2 linked regions of the Stegostoma tigrinum genome follow. The protein of the gene in region 2 purifies or fractionates together with the protein of the main gene of each other region. This does not show direct contact. Links are inferred from orthologs where the notes say so. Each region holds a gene or a part of one and is shown on either strand. Other genes may lie near its edges.

Evidence for each region.
Region 1: the proteins of napgb (region 2) and vesicle-fusing ATPase purify together in Homo sapiens (affinity purification with mass spectrometry; 3 studies listed by BioGRID and IntAct, with this or other methods). This does not show direct contact. The link is inferred for Stegostoma tigrinum from reciprocal best matches to the Homo sapiens genes NAPG and NSF.

Annotation. Positions count from the first base shown.
Region 1 is NC_081384.1:33,756,246-33,763,871, reverse strand, and holds the start of vesicle-fusing ATPase, read right to left. Parts: upstream 3,232-7,626; 5' UTR 3,123-3,231; coding exon 3,111-3,122; intron 1-3,110.
Region 2 is NC_081358.1:115,585,091-115,592,817, forward strand, and holds the start of napgb (N-ethylmaleimide-sensitive factor attachment protein, gamma b), read left to right. Parts: upstream 1-4,655; 5' UTR 4,656-4,895; coding exon 4,896-4,948; intron 4,949-7,727. UniProt on the Homo sapiens protein: Required for vesicular transport between the endoplasmic reticulum and the Golgi apparatus.

The sequences.
Region 1 (7,626 bases), on a different chromosome or scaffold from region 2:
TGTAGTAGTAGAGGCTTCAAAAGGAAATCCAGAGAACACCATACAGCAGTTACCTCAACTTCAAAGCAATCCATATTACTGAAATTCTAACCACCATGTTAAACATTCATTCCCTCCAACACCTCAGCACAACAGCAATAGTGTACAATGTTATAACATGCACCATAGCCACTCACCAGGGCTTTTGCAACAAAACCTTGCACACTCATTATTTCCACTACCTAGAAACACAAGGGCAGCAATTCTATGAGAATACTACCACCAGCAAGTTAACTAAGAAAAAGAGGCAATAATAATTAGGACAGAGGTTAGGAGAATTTTTTTCACTTCAACAGAATACAGCATCTTTGAAATTCTTTACCTCAGAGGGATAGAGAGGTTTTGTCAAAGATGCACAACACAGAAAGAGGCTCCCCGGTCCAACTTGTCCATGCTGACCAGATATTCTATGTTAATCTAGTCCGATTTTCCAACATTTGGTACATATCCCTCCTATTCATATACCCATCCAGCTGCCTTTTAAGTGTTGTAATCGTACCAGCCTCTGGCAGCTCATTCCATACACTCACCACCTTCTGCATGAAAAAATTACCCCTCAGGCCCATTTTAAGTCTTTCTTCTCTCACCTTAAACCTATGCCCTCTAGTTTTGGACTCCTCTACCCTGGAGAAAAAACTGCAGCTACTCAACCTATCAATGCCCCTCATGATTTTATAAGCCCCGAAAAGGTCACCCCTCAACCTCCGACACTCTAGAGAAATAGCCCCAGTCTACTCAAGAACAAAAACAGAAATTGCTGGAATTGGTCAGCAGGTCTGGCAGCATCTGTGAAGAAAAATAAAAATCAGAGTTAACGTTTTGGGTCGTGTGACCCTCCCCTTCAACCTCTTCCTATATCTCAAACACTCCAACCCTGGCAACATTCTTATAAATCTTCTCTGCACACTTTCAAGTTCCACAATCTCTTTCCTTTAGCAGCGAGACCTGAATTGAACTCATCAACCCTATGAGGCTAAGACATTAAATATATTCTATGCTGAGACAGACAAATGCTTAATAAGGAAAGGAATCAAGGACCATGTGAAAAAGGCGTTGAGGATTATCGGATCACTTATGATTCTCATTTAATGTTGGAGAAGACTCAGTGAACTGAGAGGCCTACTTCCGTTCCTACATTTTATCATCCTAAATCAAAATTACTTTCTTTTTCAAGGACAATGTCAGCTATTGCCAACATGCAATTAAGGCAAGTTATCAAAACGGTCAGATTTGCAGAAGAAAGTATGACTGTCATGTTTGTTAAACAAACAAAAAAAATTACATTATTAGATCACAACAAATTATGTGTACAGCATGCCTGATTTGTACAGAAGGTGCCACAATTTAACACATTTAAAACCAATTCTATCGTGTGGATGCTAAACACATAGTAAATTAGGTATAAAGTATAACAATACATTTTACTCAAAATTACCTATATAATGTTACAAATACGAGATGTTATGAAATTACAAATGTATTACAGGTTGCTCAGTAACTGAAAATTAGTAGGGGGTGAAATGGGCTATCACTAGCAAATTCAGCATTTATTACACTTTTAGGGCTGTTCTGAGAAGATGGCCAGGCCACTTCAGAGGACAGCTGAGAGCCAGTCATATCAAATCAGGCATGGAAGTCAGATTTGCTCTAACTTGACAAGATTTCCTTTTCCAGTGGACACAATTAAACCAGTTGGGTTTGCACAAAAATCCAATATCTTTATGGTCACTATCAATACAAGCATTTCCTTTTAATATTTGCAGATTTCTCAAACAACCATAAGGACATTTCCGCAAGAGTTCTTGCCTCAAACCACTCCTGTGATAGATGATGCAAACTTTTACCATTTTCTGCATCCGGCATTTCCCTTTATCATTTCTCTGAATTCCATATTTGTAATTCACTGATGTGAAAACATGGGCAATTTAATTACATTTTCATACCTGCAAGAATAGGTATGTTTTGAATGGCCATTTGAATGAAAAGACCAGAATAAAAGCGAAGGAAGAGGTATCCTGAGGGATATGGAATGGTTTATGTCAAAATGAACAAAAAGCAAGACAACTCTCCCCACTCAAAATTTCACATGTACATCATCACTAGATATCAAGATGCATCAAATTATTTGGCAAAAAATCCAAAGACAACTGCAGTCTATAAATCAGCCAAATTTATTAGCTAAATTTGATCCACAAGAAGCCACAATTGTCACATGGTTACCAGCATCATCAGTTCTTCAAATACAAAATACGTCACTCCAATACAAATTGCCACTCTCGACTGATCTTTGAAGGCATCTAAATATCATTTGGGATTTAACAGTTTCTAGATTATCAGAAATTAGTAAATTTCACTTTACTAAACTTAAATATGAACATAATTTGAATAATGCTTCACAATCTTAGGAAGCCTTCCAGTAATGCCAAATTGGTGCAGTGCAACAAAATGCCAAACATAATCAAGCAACTAAGGGGGTTTGTGCTGATCTCTCAACTTTCAGCAATGACAAGCATTCTGCAGCAATGTATGTGCAATTAAAAAAAGGAGCCAACAGGCAGTTCAACTTTAACACTGCACTTAACTCTCCTCCTTGCAAAAACTATCTCACTCTCATACGTTCTTCTTCCAGGGCAAGTGGCAGCAACAAAAAAGGGAAATGTGAAGGCATCAGAAGAGGCCAGGGAAGAGAAGCAGATCTAATGGGGCTTGGGAGGAGTTGGATGCAGAGAGGGCATGGGGGACACATCAGAGCAGGCAGAGGCACAACAAGGGAGCTTGGAGGAAATCACAGAGGGGTATGCGTGGGTTCTCATCAGAGGGGGCCGAGGCACGAGGGAGCATGGAGGAATCAGACGGGGGGCATGGGGGAACTCATCAGATGGGCACGGGGGCGCTCATCAGAGGGGGAAAGCCACACCACGGTGAAAAGAGAGCAGAGGAGCAACAAGGGTGCAGGTGGAATCAGAGGAGGCACAGGGGACATCAAGCTGCAGTTACCCAGCTAACCGCTGGTATCCGAATTCAGGAGCAACAGCAGCTTCCCCCTCCTCTCGTCATTGATCGGGACTTACCCGGGTCGCCATTATGGCTGTCGGTTGGGCTGACCGAGCAAGGTTGCCGGTTGCCGGTTGCCGGTTGCTTCAAACGTGTCTGCCGAACACAACCACTCGCGCCGCCTTTCCCCTCCCCCACACCCACAACGCTGCTTTATAACATCCGGGCCATGCGTCAGCACGCTGCGCCACGACCTCAGCACGCAGGACGTTGCTAAGTTGGAATAAATCGTGTGGAATCGTAAACATGTTCATCCATGAACATCCTTCTGTCCAAGTTCACCCATCAACATCCACTGTCCATGTTCACCCATCAAAATCCATCTATCAATGATCACCCATCAACATCCATTTTTCAATGCTCACCATCAACATCCGCTGTTCATGTTCCTCTATCAACATCCAGTGTCCACGTGCACCCCTCAACATCCGCTGGCAATGTACATCAATCAACAGCTACCTGCCCATGTTCACCCATCAATATCTGCCATCCATGTTCATCCATCGACATCCATTTGCCCATGTTCACCCATCAACATCTATCTGTCAATGTTCACACATCAACATCCATCTGTCCATCGCCCACCCATTGACATCCACTTTCCAATGTTCATCATCAACACCCACTGTTCAAGTTCCTCCATCAACATCTACTGTCCATATTCACCCACCAACATCCAAATGTCAATGTTCAGCATCCACATCCACTGTTCATGTTCACCCATCAACATCCATTTTTCAATCATCACCATCAACATCTACTGTCCATGTTCATCCATTAACATCCAAATGTCAATGTTCACCCATTGACATCTACTGTCCATGTACACGCATCGATATCCATGTGTCAGTGCTCAACCATCAACAGGGGCAGCACAGTGACTCAGTGGTCAGCACTGAGCACCAAGGACCTGCGTTCAATTCCAGCCTCAGCTCAGGTTAGCATAGGTTTTCTCCGGGTGCTCTGGTTTGCTCCCACAGTCCAGAGATGCACAGGTTAGGTGGATTGGCCATGCTAAGTTATCTATTGTATCCAGGGATGTGTAGATTTGGTAGATTAGCCATGGGAAAATGCAGGGATTAGTTAAGGATCTGGGTGAGATGGTCTTTAGATGGGCTATGTGGACTCAATGAGCTGAATGGCCTGCTTCCACTCCCAAGGGAATCTATGATCAACATCCACTGCTCATGTTCACCTATCAACATCTGCCCATCAATATTCCTCTATCAGCACTGATACAATAACTTTAGTATTCACCCATCAATATACAGCCACCACTAGTTAGAATAAGGTATTACAGAAAGCATCTGAGATGGCATGATATCTGCATTGGTCCATGTTGAATTTTCTTGTACCATAATCCATTCTTCAGCTATTTCATATACAAGCAAGTTCTATAGTAACTTAAATAGTATGTCATCTGTGGGTGGTGGACAGATGTTTTCACCCCATTAATACCTTCTGAAGTTGAAGATTTTGGTTCCATTTGTGTGTCTGTTCACTCATTGTAAGCCAAGAACATCACTGCAGTCTGTGGCATTATCCCACCTGTCCGCAGGGATGTGCAGATTTTAATGGTGCCTCATTGGAGTCTCTGCTCCAGGCTGTCTGGGGCAGAAAGGAGGTGCTGCACTTCTCGGGAGGCTTGGAGATCAGGTCACAGATAGAACTCATGGAGGTTATCAAGAGAAAGATCGTCAAACAAAGGAGGGGAGTAGATGAAAGTAGTGTTGAAAGGAGAAAATGCACTCCAACTTTTTTAATGCCCACTTCTCTTTGAAAGATTCAAGGATACAAGTAGATACTGGGTGCAGACTCTCTGTAATAATACTCGGGAAGGATGAGAACTGAACAATAGAGCACAGTTCTTTGTTATTTACATTTTCCAACATTATAGTCTATTATGATACATCTTTGGAGTAAGTGGGACTTGAATTCAGGCCTCTTGATCCAGTAGTGGGGACATTACCACTGCACCACAAGAACTTCAAGAACTCAGCTCTTTTTTTTTAAATAACCACCACCAAGTCCCCCAATTAGCAAATTGAATAAATAATAAATTACAAGCACTGCCCACCAGGGACAGTGCAAAAATAAGAAATAAACCAAAATTTTGGGGAAACAAGGGAGAGGGCTAAATAAAAATAGTACTGGATAGAAAGATCGTATGCTTCAGCCCCGGCCATGCCCACCTTTCTCTAAAAGCTTCGAGGGTGCTGGCGGACATCGCATGCTTCCTCTCCAAGGACACCGGGACATGGGTCTAGCCCCAGAAGAGAGGCAGAATATAGGACGCAGCTTTTTCTTTCACAGACCAACCACCAAGCCTCCCATGTCACTAAGCAAATTATTGAATTATAAGTACTGCTCACTGGGGAAGTGCCACAAAAACAGTAAGGAAAGAGGAAGATGATCAATTAAAATGAACCTGGATGAGCTCAACACTTTTACTCTTTGTTTCATCAACCTGTTCAGAGATGGTATGACACAACTCGAGAGTAGATGAGACTTCAACCAGGCTGAGGTGAACCCAAGTCTTCTTTTAAATGTTGATCAGAGATACTATTACACACCTCTGAACACTGTTTTCCACCATCAAACCACCATGAACCCAGGTCTTGGTATTTCAATCAGGCTGTTCAGACGTTCCACAACACACCGATGGAGCAAGTGGGAGTTGAACCCAGACTTTCTAACCTAGAAGTAGGGACAATACCATGTGTAACAAGAACACAGATCTCTTTCTTTTGATTGATCTACCACCAAATCATCCATATTACTACAAAACCAATACAACAAACAATGAGCATAACCTGCTGTCAGTTGACTCAAGAGCTGTTCTGGTTTACCCTTAACATGACCTGAATTTCTAACAATTACCACCTCATTCTTCAAAACTGAAGTTAGTCCAGGCCTAGCCTATCCATCTTTGACTCTTACATTAGTCCCTCATTCTATGGATGAGGAAGGAGAACTTTCTCTCAGCTGATTCTATTTCTGAAGAAGAGTCTAGGCCCAAAACATCAGCTTTCCTGCTCCTCTGATGGTGCTTGGCCTGCTGTGTTCATCCAGCTCTACACCCTGTTATCTCTTACTCACTTATATCTTTTTTTCAAATCATAAAACCAAAGATGGACACATTATTGGAGATGATGTCTCACCAAAACTTTATATGATGTTGAGAACTTCTTTTTTGTTTGTGAATTGTCTCTTGTTCAAAGAACACTCTGGAAGTTTCAGTTCTGGAGATGCCTAACATTCAATTAGATGACACATGTTGTACTTGGGTGTCATCCAGAGCCAGCCATCCTAACAGAGAATCCAAAGTTCGAACTGGTTTTGAACTGTGTTTAAGTTGGAAGGATTGTGGTTGTGGCAGTTGCAGGCTGAAGGTTTCATTCTTTTGTTCCCTCATTGTCCTTCCATTATCAGTTTATTGCAAGTTTAGAGAATAGAATCTCACTTATAAGTGTTTTGTGAATATTTTTGGACTCTACTGGAAGCTATATCTTCAGAAACCAAGCAAGGTACAAATCCACGTGCCTGTGAAACTACAGATTGTGGAGATTGCTTCAGTGAACTGATCAGTTGCATCTCATTGTTTTGTTCTTTCTATTTATCCTTAACTGCATCTGTTTGTCTGTCTAACTTTGTGTGAGTTGGGGCTAGAATCAAAGAGGATTAGGTTTAAATCATAGGCTTCAATCAGGTTATCTTGTTTAGTTTTGCTCTGTCAAAGCAACTGTATTATTAATAAATTATTAATTTTTTGTTTAAGCTCCAAACCTGTTGTATCATATTGGATATTTTTAAAAAATCTGATACTGGTTATTCAAAATGCCTCGTTAGGAATGATTGGGGTCAATTCTGAGGGTCATTAAATACTTTAATTTTACTGTGTTATGAATGAAGGGATTGAGAAGCTGATTTGATCTGGTGGTCTTTGGGCCATAACAACGTTGGTGGGAAAATATCTGTATTTCATATTTTTTTTGCCATGAATACTAACATTCTATTTGCCTTCTAAATAATTTGTTGTACCTGCATGCTAATGTTCAGTGATTCATGTACCAGCACAGCTAGACTTTCTGTACCTCACAATTCTGCAATCTTTCTCCTTTTAAATTGTACTATTGTTTCATCCTCCCTGTGAAAATGGACAAGTTCACATTTTCCAACATTATAATCTATGTGCCAATTACTTGTCCATTCACTTAACCTATTTAAATCTCTTTGTAGATTCTCTACCTCCACTTGACAGGTTAAGTTCCTATATATGGAGGCAAACCAGGAAATGTAGTTAATGCGCTTTTAGCTCCTGTATTTATTTCATTAAAATAGATTGCAAGTAGTTGATTCCCAATAGTGATCCCTGTGGCACCCTACTAGTTACAGTCTGAGAAGCTGAAGAAGTTTTCCTCTGCTTCCTGTTTATTAACCAGTCCCTTAACTTATGCTAATACAATACCCCTTACACCAGTGTTCCTGTTTGGTATCACAACATTTTGATGTGTAGTAATTTCCTTGAAATAA
Region 2 (7,727 bases):
GGCGGACCGAAGATGGAGAGAAAAGAAGATAGGTGGAGCGGAGAGTATAGGGGGAGGTAGGGAGGGGATAGGTCAGTCCAGGGAAGATGGACAGGTCAAGGAGGTGGGATGAGGTTAGTAGGTAGGAGATGGAGGTGTGGCTTGGGGAGGGAGGAAGGGATGGGTGAGAGGAAGAACGGGTTAGGGAGGCAGAGACAGGTTGGACTGGTTTTGGGATGCAGTGGGTGGAGGGGAAGAGCTGGGCTGGTTGTGTGGTGCAGTGGGGGGAGGTGACGAACTGGGCTGGTTTTGGGATGCGGAGGGGGAAGGGGAGATTTTGAACCTGGTGTAGTCCACATTGATACCATTGGGCTGCAGGGTTCCCAAGCGGAATATGAGTTGCTGTTCCTGCACCCATCTCCAGCATATCCCTCACCTTCCTGGACCTCTCAGTCTCCATCTCAGGCAACCAGCTTATAACTGATGTCCATTTCAAGCCCACCGACTCCCACAGCTACCTAGAAAACACCTCCTCCCACCCACCCTCCTGCAAAAATTCCATCCCCTATTCCCAATTCCTCCGCCCCCGCCGCATCTGCTCCCACGATGAGGCATTCCACTCCCGCACATCCCAGATGTCCAAGTTCTTCAAGGACCGCAACCTTCCCCCCATGGTGGTCGAGAACGCCCTTGACCGCGTCTCCCGTATTTCCCGCAACACATCCCTCACACCCCGCCCCCGCCACAATCGCCCAAAGAGGATCCCCCTTGTTCTCACACACCACCCCACCAACCTCCGGATACAACGCATCATCCTCCAACACTTCCACCATCTACAATCCGACCCCACCACCCAAGACATTTTTCCATCCCCACCCTTGTCTGCTTTCCAGAGAGACCACTCTCTCCGTGACTCCCTTGTTCGCTCCACACTGCCCTCCAACCCCACCACACCTGGCATCTTCCCCTGCAACCGCACAAAATGCTACACTTGCCCCGACACCTCCTCCCTCACCCCTATCCCAGGCCCCAAGATGACTTTCCATATTAAGCAGAGTTTCACCTGCACATCTGCCAATGTGGTATACTGCATTCACTGTACCTGGTGTGGCTTCCTCTACATTGGGGACACCAAGCGGAGGCTTGGGGATCGCTTTGCAGAACACCTCCGCTCGGTTCGCAATAAACAACAGCACCTCCCAGTCGCAAACCATTTCCACTCCCCCTCCCATTCTTTAGATGACATGTCCATCATGGGCCTCCTGCAGTGCCACAATGATGCCACCCGAAGGTTGCAGGAACAGCAACTCATATTCCGCTTGGGAACCCTGCAGCCCAATGGTATCAATGTGGACTTCACCAGCTTCAAAATCTCCCCTTCCCCCTCCGCATCACAAAACCAGCCCAGTTCGTCCCCTCCCCCACTGCACCACACAACCAGCCCAGCTCTTCCCCTCCACCCACTGCATCCCAAAACCACTCCAACCTGTCTCTGCCTCCCTAACCTGTTCTTCCTCTCACCCATCCCTTCCTCCCACCCCAAGCCCCACCTCCATCTCCTACCTACTAACGTCATCCCACCTCCTTGACCTGTCCGTCTTCCCTGGACTGACCTATCCCCTCCCTACCTCCCCACCTATACTCTCCTCTCCACCTATCTTCTTTTCTCTCCATCTTTGGTCCGCCTCCCCCTCTCTCCTTATTTATTCCAGAACCCTCACCCCATCCCCCTCTCTGATGAAGGGTCTAGGCCCGAAACGTCAGCTTTTGTGCTCCTGAGATGCTGCTGGGCCTGCTGTGTTCATCCAGCCTCACATTTTATTATCTTGTAACACTGTGACATCTGTTTCCAACTTGTCGCTCTCAAACTGCAGGGTGAATTCTGTCATATTGTGGTCAATACGTCCCAGGCAATCCTTCACCTTAAGCTCTCTAATTAAGTCTGCCTCATTACACATCACCAAATTCAGAACTGATTGTTCCCTAATGGACTCTAAATCAAACTGCTCCAAAAAAACACTTGTAGACATCCCACAGATTCCTTGAGTTCTGCTACCAACATAATTTTTCTAGTCCACCTGCATATTGAAGTTCCCCATGATTTTATTCATAGAAAAGGTATGTAAAAAAGACACTATCTCTTGATTCATTTTCTGACCCATAACCTGACCATTGCTCAGCTACATAACTCCCAACAGGATCTTCCTTCCTTTGCAGTTGCTCAACTCTAACCACACAGATTCAATGCTTTCCAACCCTATATCATTTCTTGCTATCAATTTAATAAGCTCTATCCTCTCTGACCATCTGCTTGGCTTTGCGATAGGATGCCTATCTCCTCGGGTATTCATTTCCCTGCACTGGATCGCTTGGAGCCACATCTCTGTGATGCCCGAAACATCATACTCACCAATTTCAATATGTGCTACAGGCTCATTTATAGTGTTTCTTATACTGCACACATTTAACTAGAACACCCTCAATCCTGTACTGACCTTTGTGACCATACTTGAGTAAAAAAAAATCAGAAAGTTACGTCCAATGCCTCTGAAATTTCCACTCTCACTTCCTTTAGTACTCTTGGATGTTTGTCATTCTATCCTGGTGCTTTATCAACTTTTAAGTACAGAATTCGATTCCAATACCTTCTTATCAGTCTCCTCCTTAAAGCCTTCAAGTGTAAGGACTACCTGTTCTTTCACCACGACATGGGCACCTTTATTGTCATTGGTAATGGAGATGCATAGTTATCTTCTATTACCTCAACCACACACTCTTCTATGCATAAATCCCATTTTCAAAAATGTATAATTTCATTGGATTTGGGCAATACCAGCCAGGCCAACATTTGTTGTCTATTCTTAATTGCCATTGAATGCAGCATGCTAGGCCTATACAGAAGGAAGACAGTCAACCACTTTGCTGTGGATCTAGAGTCACATGTAGGCTAGGCTGAGTAAAAATGGTTCCTTCTCTAAAGAAAGTTAGTGAATGAAATGGATTCTTCCAAAAATTAATGATCGTTTCCTGATCACTGTGTGGCGGAGGTGATGGCCAAATGGTATTATCACTGGACTGTTAATCCAGAGAGCTAGCTAGTGTTCTGGGGACCTGGGTTTGAACCCCACCATGGTAGACGGTGGATCGTTAATTTGATGTAAATCTGGAATTAAGCGTATAATGATGACCCTGAATCCATTGGTGTTTGTTGGAATAAAGCCATCTAGTTCACTAATTTCCTTCAGGAAAGGAAACTGCCATCCTTACATGGTTTGGCCCACATGTATCTCATAACAATGTGGTAATTCTTGGCTGACCTCTGGGCAAATTAGGGATAGGCAATTAATGCTGGCCTAGTCAGCAATGCTCTCATTCTGTGATTGCATTTTAAAAAATTACTAGTTAGACTAGTTTCATATTGCAGATTTTTTAATTGAAAGACTTTTGGGTTCCATTTTATATATTTACTTAATTCCTTCTCTCTGAACCTTCTATATTCTGTGTGGTTCTCCATCATATTATTCACCTGTCATCTATCGTAAGTCTTTGTCTTCTTATTTACTCTTATATCAGTTTTGTCTCTCTGGATTAGTTTGTCCTACCTTTTCCCTTCATATGACTATACCTTGATTGCATTGCTACATTGGCTTCATGGCTCTGAGTGGAGAGAATGCACTATAGAACATTCATTGATCCTCTAAACTTTTGTTTAAATTTTAAAAAGGTAATATTGTGACCAATCAGTATCTTTTTCTTATGCAGTATAAATTGTTATTCCCTTTGAAATTTGGCATTCTTGTATCTGTCCTGAAGACTGCATGGCAAAAAGCTTTGACAATACCTTTCTTTCAAGCAATACGCAAGCTATAAACGAATCGTGAACTACCAGTCTTTTGTGCTGTAATGTTCAGCCAATACTTCCTAACTGCACTACGCAAATGACATAGTAAGTAATATAGCCATAGTTCCAGAGGACCAGTCTTTCATTTAGATGGCGCTTTAACTTCAGGTCACCACACCTCAGGCAAAGGTTGAGATTGAAAGGTGTTAACCTCAGCTGGTGCAGGAACCTGGTCTGTTGGAGTCATTCTGCATTATAAACCAGCCATCCAGCCAGCACAGCCCAACTCCTGTAATTAGCAGATAGATGAGGTCATTGCACTATATATATACAGAATGCCAAAAGACATGGATAACGTGGACATGGAGAAGATGTCTCCACTAGCCGGAGTGTCTAAGACCTGACGGCACAGCTTCAGAGTTAAGGTATGAACGACCCTTTAGAACTTAGATGAAGAGGAACTTCTTCAGCCAGAGGGTGGTGAATCTGTGAAACTTATTGCCGCAGAAGGCTGTGGAGGCCAAGTCAGGAAGTGTATTTAAGGCAGAGATAGATTGGTGTAAACAACAAACCAAAAGAACTGTGAATGCCGGCAATCAGAAACAAAAACAGAAAATGCTGGAAAATCTCAGCTGGTCTGGTAGCATCATGAAGATAAATCAGAGTTAAGGTTTCAGCTCCAATGACCCTTCAGAGCCGAAGTGGCAAGGAGATCAGCGAGAAGGCAGGAGAATGGGGCTAAGAAACATATCAACCACGATCTACTAGCGCAGCAGACTTCATGGGCCAAATGGCCTAATTCTGCGGGGATGCTGCCGCGTAACTGCAACGACGCTGCGTGAACGCGCCTGCGCGTTACCGCGATGGCCGTCCTCGCTCCTTGAGCGGCTTGGAACAGAGGCCACCGCTTGAGAGAAAATCTGTTTGCTTCAGGCCAACAGATTGCGTTTTTACTCCGGCCATTCATCGAGGGAGCAAAAAAAAAATCTGACCGTACGGAGTGAAGTATTCGTGGTCCGTTTCGCTGTCCTTGACAAAAGTGTGAGGTTGTAGTGAGAGAGACAGAGAGAGGCGGATGGCTCAGAAAATTAACGAGGCGTTGGAACATATAGCCGCAGCTGAGAAATGGTAAACAAGCCAACGGCTGAAGTTGATTTTTTTTTCTCCTTCCCATTTTTTTGAGGCAGTCACTTTTGTTTTAGGTGCGTTGGCAGAGCTAATGCCAATGGTTTCTAACGCTTCGTTTTAACTGAAACAGCTCGCGACCGTCGGCTCACCTGACTCCGACAGAGGCATTCTGGGAGCTGTAGTTCCTTAACCTTTGGCAGTTACTGTTAACATCTGATGGTGCACTATGATTCCCAGGGTTCTTTGTGAAGCGTACGTTTCCTGGTTTTTCCCCTTCAATAAGATCAGTGCAAATGAAGCCAAATTCGCTTGTTCTCTTCCCAGAAAACTAATACCTGTCCAGATTCCTATACCTTGCAGTCGCCTCTTGGACGTATTGTCCCATGACACTCGCTGGCGTTACCATGTCTGAATCCTCCATACCAGCATATTTTGGGTGCGGGGTGGATACGATTGACTAAAAAGTGCACTGGACTATCCGTGCAAACGTCGAGAATGCTGCACAAACTCAGCAGGCCCGGCAGCTTGTGTGGAGGGAGCAGCAAATTTTTGTTTTGCGATTGGTGTGACTTCTCATTTTTTCTGAAAAATTAAAATGATAATCCCATTGAAGAGTAGAGTGGAACTTTTTCCAGGATGGGCATGCCTGGAAGTGAAATGGCAGTGTGAATTAAGTAGTCGGATATCATGAAGCAGAGTTTCTGTCAGACCTGCTGATTTGTCTCTGACACACTGTCTCAAATTTCCAGCATCCACAATGTTTGTTTTTCAAGTACTGCATGCCTACAACAGCAGGCTAGAAGTCCTGCAGTAAGTAATTCACCTCATGACTCCCCAAAACCTGTCCACCATCAATAAGGCCCAAGTATGATAGACTGGCCTGGATGCACAGAATTAACAATGGTTAAGAAGCTTCACACAGTAGCCTGCTTTGCTACTCACAAATGTATCACTCTATGTGTATCTATATGAACTTCAATAAGGTGTTTCACAAGGTTCCTCATGGTGGATTGGTTAGTAAGGTAAGATCACATGGAATAGAGGGAGAACTAGCCATTTAGGTACACAACTGGCTCAAAGGTAGAAGACAGAGGGTGGTAGTAGAGAGTTGCTTTTCAGATTGGAGACAATGGTATGCCACAAGGACCTGTGCTGGACCTACTGTTTTTTGTCATTTGTCAAAATGATTTGGAAAGAACAGAGGAGGTATGGTTAGGAAGTTTGCAGTTGACACCAAAATTGGAGTGTAGTGGATAGCGAAGAGGGTTACGTCAAAGTACAGTGGGATCTGGATCAGATTGACCAATGGGCCAAGAGTGCTCGATGGAGTTCAGTTTAGGTAAGTGTGAGGTGCTCCATTTTGATAGGGAAAATCAGGGCAGGACTCGTTACACTTAATGGTATGGTCCTAAGGAGTGTTGCTGAATTAAAGAGACCTTGGAGTGCAGAATCACCGTTCATTTAAAGCGGAGTCGTAGGTAGACAGGGTGGTGAAAAAGACGTTTGATGTGCTTGCCTTTATTGGTCAGTGCATTGAGTACAGGAATTGAGAGGTCATTTACGGGACATTGGTTAGGCCACTTCTGAAACATTGCATGCAATTCTAGGGTTCCTGCTATAGGGAAGATGATGTGAAACTTGATTGGATTCAGAAAAGATTTACAAGGATGCTGCTAGGGTTTGAGGCTTGAGCTATAGGGAAAGGCTGAATAGGTTAAGGCAATTTTCCTTGGAGCGTTGGAGGCTTATAGAGGTTTATAAAATCATGAGGGGCGTGGATAGGACAAATAGACAAAGTCTTTTCCCTGGGGGTGGGGGAGTCCAAAACTAGAAGGCACATGTTTAAGGTGAGAGCACCTTAGGCAGCACCTTCCAAATCTACCCCTGCCGTCATTTAGAAAGGTAAAGGCACTAGATGCATAGGAACACCACCACCGACCAGTTTCTCTCTAAGTCATTCACCATCCTTACTGAGAATATATTGCTGTTCCATCAATGCTCTTAGATCTATCACCTTCTCGAGGATAATTAAATATGGGCAATAATTGCTGGCCTAGCCAGAAAATCCACATCTCATGAACCAATTAAAAAATAGAACTGGCATGGTTGCATTGCAAATATCCCTAATGCTGTCAGGCTTTTGACATCTCGTGATGTCCATCCTGTGTGGTATGAACTTACTGAGTTCAGTTCTTCAGTTAATCCTGTATAATTTTAAACAAGGCTTCCACGGTACAAATAAATTGTATTCTGCTCTGTTTTTATATGGTTTTATTACTTGCTAGGATAAAGAACTGTAGCTAGATAGGTTGTAGAAGCTGGGGCTATTCTTGGAGGAAAGATTGAGTTGATTGATGCAAAATCACGAGGGGTTTGTAGGTAAGGGAAAAGGTGGTGGAAAGATCGAGAACTAAGGGACACTGTTTTATGGGGATTGGCAAAAGAAGCAAGGATTACATTGGGAAATCCTTTTTATTCTGCACATAGAACATAGAACATTACAGCACAGTACAGGCCCTTCGGCCCCCGATGTTGTGCCGACCTGTTATACCGATCTGAAGCCCATCTAACCTACACTATTCCATGTACGTCCATTTGCTCATCCAGTGACGACTTAAATGTACCTAAAGTTGGCGAATGGTTAGGATTTGGAATGCTGTGCCCATGTATAATAGCCTTTCAAAAGTGAATTGCATAATTATCTGAAGGGGCTAGTTGAGTTGTTCATCCAGAGAGCTGGCACAGACAGGCTTCTGTGCTGTATATATTCCATGATTCT